Callithrix jacchus: one gene and its partner. The main gene of each other region encodes a partner of the protein of the gene in region 2 in a complex. Links are inferred from orthologs where the notes say so. Each region holds a gene or a part of one and is shown on either strand. Other genes may lie near its edges.

What was found. The genes of interacting proteins can lie anywhere in the genome.
Region 1: CEP290 (region 2) and TMEM107 share a complex: the UniProt entries of both Homo sapiens proteins name them as parts of the tectonic-like complex. The link is inferred for Callithrix jacchus from reciprocal best matches to the Homo sapiens genes CEP290 and TMEM107.

The regions. Positions count from the first base shown.
Region 1 is NC_133506.1:74,652,678-74,656,944, forward strand, and holds TMEM107 (transmembrane protein 107), read right to left. Parts: upstream 2,861-4,267; 5' UTR 2,736-2,860; coding exon 2,649-2,735; intron 2,473-2,648; coding exon 2,405-2,472; intron 2,305-2,404; coding exon 2,204-2,304; intron 783-2,203; coding exon 686-782; intron 465-685; coding exon 395-464; 3' UTR 220-394; downstream 1-219. UniProt on the Homo sapiens protein: Plays a role in cilia formation and embryonic patterning. Requires for normal Sonic hedgehog (Shh) signaling in the neural tube and acts in combination with GLI2 and GLI3 to pattern ventral and intermediate neuronal cell types.
Region 2 is NC_133510.1:93,098,941-93,102,555, forward strand, and holds part of CEP290 (centrosomal protein of 290 kDa), read left to right. Parts: intron 1-375; coding exon 376-540; intron 541-1,504; coding exon 1,505-1,612; intron 1,613-1,856; coding exon 1,857-1,991; intron 1,992-3,490; coding exon 3,491-3,615. UniProt on the Homo sapiens protein: Involved in early and late steps in cilia formation. Its association with CCP110 is required for inhibition of primary cilia formation by CCP110.

The DNA of each region.
Region 1 (4,267 bases), on a different chromosome or scaffold from region 2:
GAATGCTCCAATCATTTACGTGCTGGACGTTCTAACTGTATGCACTTTTATTTACATATCCCCGCCCACTTCCTTCCCCCAGACGTCTACCGTAATAACCAAAATAGAAGCGATATCAAGTATCTTACGGTCTGCAGGACTAGAAAACAGCGTAGTTGTTTTTTTCTTCAATAGTTAAGCCATCCCAATTGTCCCCTGAAAACTATATAACTCTTGATCTTACTACAAAACATATTTTATTACAAAACACTAAATACAATGCTGATAATCCCATACATCCAACACATATCCTCTAGCAGAAGCAGTTTCCAAGGGGAAGACTGAAGCCTATGCCTTTCTTCTTCCAGGAATACGAAGCGGCCTCCCATGTAGCCTTCGACCATCAGGAAGGTGATCAGAAAGGTTTCTTTTTCAGCCCAAAGATGGCGATGAATAAAGCCATTTCAGTGACAGCTGGAAGGGCACTACCGAAGCAGGTGGTAGATTCAGAAATCCTTTCAATATAAATATGCAAATCTCCAAACTAGAGACCCCACCCCTGAAAGTATAGGGCAGGTGGCATGGGGATGGGGGATGAAAAAGACTACAGGATCTCATGCATGGAAGAAGGGACCGGGTGGGGGAAAACTTTCAGATTTAGGGTAAACCTTCCTCCCTCATCCCCAAATATTGGGTGTTACCACACCTGCAGAAGAAAAAAATGTACCAATACGTAGTGCACTCCCAACGCTCAAATATGAAGAAGGACAGGGCCACGGATGCACTACAGTGAGCCCCAATGGCTTGGGAAGGCACCACAGTTAAGGAAAGTCTTTGGATCGACAGATAGTGATGGATCAGAAAACATCAGTGGTGGGGTTGGCATCTGCACTCAGGTTCATCGCTTGCTCCCTCACCATATTGCAAGGGCTAGAGTCAGCAGCCCTGACTTCTGAATTGTAGGATGGTCATATGAGGAGAGACCAGAAGTAACTGCATAGATGGGACCTCAGGCTAGCCTACCCCACATCTAGAGGCCAGCTTGGACCCTTCAGATGAGAGGTAAGAGTAGGCTCTCCTACCATGCCACACAGGAGTGCTGACAGCGAATTGATATGCTCTGCTGGAATCAGCCTCCAGGGTTCTAGCACTCCTGGTTCACAGTTCTCTGACCCACGTGCTTCATTTCCTTTGCCATTTCTGAGTTCCCATTGTGCTTTCTACCTTTTGTTTGTTTGTTTGTTTGTTTGTTTGTTTGAGACAGAGTCTCACTTTGTCACCAGGCACCAGGCTGGAGTGCAGTGGCACAATCTCGGCTCACTGCAACCTCCGCCTCCCGGGTTCAAGCAATTCTCCTGCCTCAGCCTCCTGAGTAGCTGGGACTACAGGCACACGCCACCACGCCCAGCTAATTTTTGAATTTTTAGTAGAGACGGGGTTTCACCATGTTGGCCAGGATGGTCTCAATCTCTTGACCTCGTGATCCACCTGCCTCGGCCTCCCAAAGTGCTGGGATTACAGGCTTGAGCCACCGTGTCCCGCTTGTTTGTTTTTTGACGGAGTCTCACTCTGTTGCCCAGGCTAGAGTGCAGTGGCTCAACCTCGGCTCACTGCAACTTCTGCCTCCCAGGTTCAAGCAATTTTCCTGCCTCAGCCTCCTGAGTAGCTGGGGTTACAGGTGTGCCGTCACCACGCCCGGCTAATTTTTGTATTTTTAGTAGAGAATGGTGTTTCACCATGTTGGTCAGGCTGGTCTCAAACTCATGACTTCAAATGATCCACCTGTCCTGGCCTCCCAAAGTTGCTTGAAATAAAGGCGTGAGCCACCGCGCCCACCCCTCTTTACACACTCCTATAGCACCCTGCTTATCACTGAATTACAGATATGTGTCTGCCTCCTCCTCATGATAAACAAAAAAGGTGAAGTTCTCATTATTACTATTATTTTTGTAGACATAGGGTCTCACTATGATGCCTCAAGCAATCCTCCTGCCTGGGCCTCCCACACTGCTGGGAATACAGACATGAGTCAACGTGCCTGGCCGAAAACTGTTTTACTCTCATTTTGGGATTTTAAGTGCCTAGTAAACAGCAGGATTTAGCACATGTTTGAAGATATCCGAACTGGAGAGATTGGTTACAGCAGACACTATGGTGTCAGGTGGCTGAAGGGAGTCCTGATGGAAATGGTCGTGTGGGAAAGGTGAGCAGGAGGAAAGGATACAGATGAGGCTCTGGGTGCTGTTGAACATGGAGACTCCTAGAAGGAAACCGGCCAGCTCCACTGCAAAGAGGCCCAGAGTGACAGAGAGCGCGGCCACCAGCCTGCAGAAAGGAAGTGGACAGCCTCAGGCCCTTGGACTTCTAAGAACCCTCCACTCCCACCACCTCTCCGTTCTGACCAGCCCATTCCGAGAGAGCTCACTGAATGTCCTGCTTTTCATACTCCTCGGGGGTGAACCTGAGAGGCAGGCAGGCCTGGATGTTGCTGTCCTGGGAGCAGAGCAGAGAGGAAGAGAAGTGAAAAAGGGACGGGCGGCGAGGCAGGCCTGGGGGCGGCGGGGAACGAGAAGACCTAAGTGGGTAAGACACTGGGAGAGGGGCAAGATGGGGCTGGGACCACTCCGAGGTGGGAATAGGGGCGGACGGATGTCAGCCGTGGGTCTTACCCGGGACCAGAATAAGGTGATGACGACCACCAGATGCGCCAGGAGCGTCAGGAAGCGAGAAGGTACGAGCCCTGAGACCCGGCCCATGGCCCTTGGAAACAGGGGCGGCGGTCTCAGAGGCCGGAATTTCAAAGAGAGCGACTCCTGAAGTCTCCCTGCAAGCGGACAAAATCTAGACGAACGCCTCCTTCCCGCCCGCTCAGGCACCGCCCAGTTACCTTGGTAACTCCGTACGCGAACGCGGCGCCGCGTTCTCGAAAAACATCGCGAGAGCAGTATATTCTCAAGCTGCTGCTGGCCTCTTCCGGCTTGCGCAGGTCAGGGCTTCCCCGAATGCCATTCTAACCCAACGTTTGGGTATCCGCGCGTAGCCAAGCCCTTTGTTCCTGAGAGGGTGCGAGGTGGCACGGCCCCGCAGCGCCCGATCTACCCGCCCAGGACCGACGAACGGAAACCGACCTGGGCTAGCCTGGGGGCACCTCGGCTTCCGCAGTTGCCGGGAGCGGCCCCCAGCCCCTTCTACACCGACAATTGTGGATCTCCTGAGGCCGCGCCACCGCCATGCCGGGCTGAGGTCCGGGTCCCCGCCATGCCGAAGACTCAGACACGCTCCCCTTCCCCTCCTCCGTATGCCTTTAGCTTCCCACCAAGCTGGCCTCAGAAACAAGGGTCCCGAACTTGGAGAGGCGGTGTCCCTAGACTGCTCAGCAGTCACAGATTGTCACGGAGCCCCTGGATGTCTGAGGACCCCAGGCCTGAACTTTCCTTGAGGAAGACTGATTTCTCTCAGTCTAACTTTGCTCAGTTTGGTGAGGGATTTGCAGAGTGCAAAAAATGGCAGAGCAAGGGGACCGGAAAGGGTGGGAGTGGATGGAGGGAATGGACAGTCCCTGCATCCCTGGGAGGCTTGGAGCTGACTGGAACGGAAACTCAAATCAGATTTCTTTATCTCTTGGAGGTGCTGGGCCTCCGACATTACCCAGCTACAGTCCAAGAAGCTCTTATCATCGGCAACCTCATGACCTTTGGGTTTCAGCGCAGGTCCCCGCTGATCGGAAAGCTCTTTCTTCTCGCAATGCTGTCAAGTCCCATTCTCAAGGGTCCTCCCGGCTCATTTCCCCGGAGAACAACCGCTTCCTCTTCCTCACTCCCCGTCTCAGTGCCTTTAGCCAGTCTAAATATATGCCCAAGAGGCATTTCTCATTTCTTCAAATATTGTTTGTATTTACTGATTACCTAGTAGGTGGATTCTAGTCAGGGAGATCAATAATAGACATGCAAACAAATCCGCAAGATACTATATGCTATGAAAAGGGAAACGCTACAATTATAATTCTATAAAAAGAATGGGGCATTTGTTCTTAAACTTTATTTTAGAAAATTTGGCGCAGTAGCTCATGGCCGTAATCCCAGCACTTTAGGAGGCCAAGGCGGGCAGATCACCTGAGGTCAGGAGTTCTAGACCAGCCTGATCAACATGGTGAAAACCGGTCTCTACTAAAAATATAAAAATTAGCTGGGCATGATGGCGAGCACCTGTAATTCCAGCTACTCGGGAGGCTGAGGCAGGAGAATTTCTTGAATCCTGGAGGTGGAGGTTGCAGTGAGGCGAGATCGCG
Region 2 (3,615 bases):
TTATCTTGCAACTACATTCTATTCTCTAGGCTAGAAACATTTAAGATTTCTGTTTTTGAAAATAATACTAATGTTTCAATGACCTGCTTATAGTCAGTGTTCAATAAACATATAACAAATGAAAAAAATGAAAGTGAATGTTAGTAATGTCCATTCCAATATAATTTGAAGATTTTATTGTAAGTTCCCACAGTTGTAGAAAAGTCAATGGAAATCCTAAATAAAAATTTGTCATGTGGCTTGAGAAAAGATAACATTGTGTCTTATTTTACTTTAGAATGACCATTACTTTCAACTAAAATCATTATGATCAATAAAGTAATATTGTTTGTTGATATGGCATTTATATTTGTATATATAAATTGTAAATCTTAGGTAATCAACTGGCATATGAAAATAGAAGAACTTCGTCTTCAAGAGCTTAAACTAAATCGAGAATTAGTCAAAGATAAAGAAGAAATAAAATATTTAAATAATATAATTTCTGAATATGAACATACAATCAGCAATCTTGAAGAAGAAATTGTGCAACAGAACAAGGTTTTATATTTGTTTTGTATTTTCTAAGATTTTAGATAAGAATATTGCACAAATGACTATGTTATTCTAATTGAATTCAGCTTTTATTACTAATTGATTACATAATAATTTTTTCTTATTTTTTCAACTATTCTGAAAATTTATATTTAGTTTTTATAACATTAGTCTTAAAAAGGGCAATATATAGACAACCTCATTGATAAGTTAATTTTTATTTTGAGATTGGTTATTTGACTTTTCACAGTTCCAGGTTTCTACTGGCTCTCACTGACAGAGTAAGAAGGCAGCTTGTTATAGAATAAAGTGTGCGCTACAGAGACAGATGAAATTCATCAGACATATGACTGTCTCAGAGATTGTTCCCTCTGCTTAAATTGTTCTTACCATAAATACCCGTGGTGTTTACACTTTCAGTGCCTGCAGGTCTTAGCTCATATGTCTTATCTTATCAGTGCATCCATCACCAGCCACCTAAGATACAACCGTAAATTCTACTGTCAAGATTCCCTAAATAGAGATTATCTTAATTTTTCTCCATAGCACTTGTAACCTTCAGGTATATTACATACTTACTTGTTTATTATTGACTGTCTCTCCTTCACCAGAATGTAAGTTCCATGGTGACATGGACTTGGTTTTGTTTACCGCTGTGTTTGTACTGCCTAGAATGATGCTTTGCACACAATATATATAATTAAATATATTTTGGATGGATGGATGGATGGATGGATAGAGAGATTTAAATTACATCTGCCTTTCTGCCTTTCTTACTTCACATGTGCCTTTCTCTGTGATCTTACACAAGTTACGTCACCTCTCTGAGTTTATATTATTTTTCATAAAAGGAAAATAATTACAGTTTCATCAATGTGTTGTGAGGATTAGTTAAGAAAAAATATATGAAATGCTTGTTATGTGCCTGATGTCTTTGTGTATGTGTCTGACACAAATTGTCTTTTGTTAGTTTCATGAAGAAAGACAAATGGCTTGGGATCAAAGAGAAGTTGACCTGGAACGTCAACTAGACATTTTTGATCGTCAGCAAAATGAAATACTAAATGCAGCACAAAAGGTATGAATGATTAATCTTGTTTGCTATTCTGTAGCATGGCCTAGAGTGTTAATTCACAGAAATATTTCCTGTATCAGATATAATTTTAACTGATGTTATATTTGTATATATTAATTGATCTTATATTTGTATATTTAAAATATGAGGGGTTTAATCTATGTTTTATCATAAAGCCGTAAAAGTTAATATTGTTATTTTCAATGCTGTAACTGCTTTTTTAAGAAAACATACTATTTGTTAATAGTTTGAAGAAGCTACAGGATCAATCCCTGACCCTAGTTTGCCCCTTCCAAATCAACTTGAGATTGCTTTAAGAAAAATTAAGGAGAACATTCGGATAATCCTAGAAACACAGGCAACTTGCAAATCACTTGAAGAGGTAATTAGAAAAAATTGCATTTTGATTCGTGTATTCTTTGGAATGTTTGTGGGGGGTGTTAAATAATGTTTCTTTATGAGGATGATGCATAGAATGATGAATCTGTTGCTAATTTCACTCTTTTTCTGTTCTCCTTTAATGCTTCTAACAACTGATAATGAATAGCAGATATGGTTAATTTGAATTCACTGTTTGTTTTTTTTTTTTTTTGAGACGGAGTTTTGCTCTTGTTACCCAGGCTGGAGTGCAATGGCGTGATTTCAGCTCACTGCAACCTCCGTCTCCTGTGTTCAGGCAATTCTCCAGCCTCAGTCTCCTTAGTAGCTGGGGTTACAGGCACACGCCACCATGCACAGCTAATTTTTTGTATTTTTAGTAGAGACGGGGTTTCACCATGTTGTCCAAGATGGTCTCGATCTCTTGACCTCATGATCCACCCGCCTCGGCCTCCCACAGTGCTGGGATTACAGGCGTGAGCCACTGCTCCCGGCCCTGAATTCACTATTTAGTTATAACTTGTTACCTTTAGGTTCACTGATCAGCACTAGCGTGAAAGGAAAAAAAAGCATTTAATTGTAGCTTTATGAACCATATATTATTTTCCTTTATATGATCTTTCCTTATTTTTTTGGTTTTATTTTGAAGTACATGTTACATAATCTATTAATCCATTTTCAGTTCATTCCTTTTTATGCATGGCTAAAGGGTTGAAGGTAAATTAGAAATTATTTTCTGTTTTAATCTAGATCTTGACTTTGGTTAGTAGGTGATCAAATCTGTCATCTTTATTAAATTATTTTGAAAATAATTAAAAATATGATTTTCATGTTAGTTTCCATATAAATATATTAACCCCAAATACACTTAAAAATATATGTAAAGGAGTTTTTCAAGTAAAATTGTACATTTTTAATCAGTTCAGGAAACTTAGATTTTCCTCAGTAATTGTAAGATTTGTCATTTATGTGAATTGCCACTGAATCACTTAATTTAAAATACCTTAATCCTCTTGAAGAGTAAAAATTTTTCTAGTTTTTTTTTTTCTGTTTTGTTTTAATAAAGTGCAGGTTTTATAATACTAATTTCTTGACTTGGGCCACTAAAATTCCAGTTTTGTACTTCACTGACTTTAGATTAGTCTTCTAATGCTCTGCTAGTCAATGGACCAAAATAAAGGAAATAATTTATTACATATTCTTCCTAAATCTAGCACAACCACACATTTGTAGTTCTAAACTGTAATATCTCAATAAAGTACATTAATTAAATTTTATTTTTGTTGTAACAGTGAAGTTTCTAACATATGTAATACTCTTATAAACTATGTAAATAAATGTTGTCAATTAGAAATAGTTTAACCTTATTAAGTATCAAATGGCTATTGTACATATGATGAGAAAAATAAAGTGAATTTTTTTTTGCTAATAACCTAAAATTCAGATGAAGTATTTAAAGGAAAAAATATGCTTTACTGATTTATTGTGATTTAATCATTGCAGAAGCTAAAAGAGAAAGAATCTGCTTTAAGGTTAGCAGAACAAAATATACTGTCAAGAGACAAAGTAATCAATGAACTGAGGCTTCGATTGCCTGCCACTGCAGAAAGAGAAAAGCTCATAGCTGA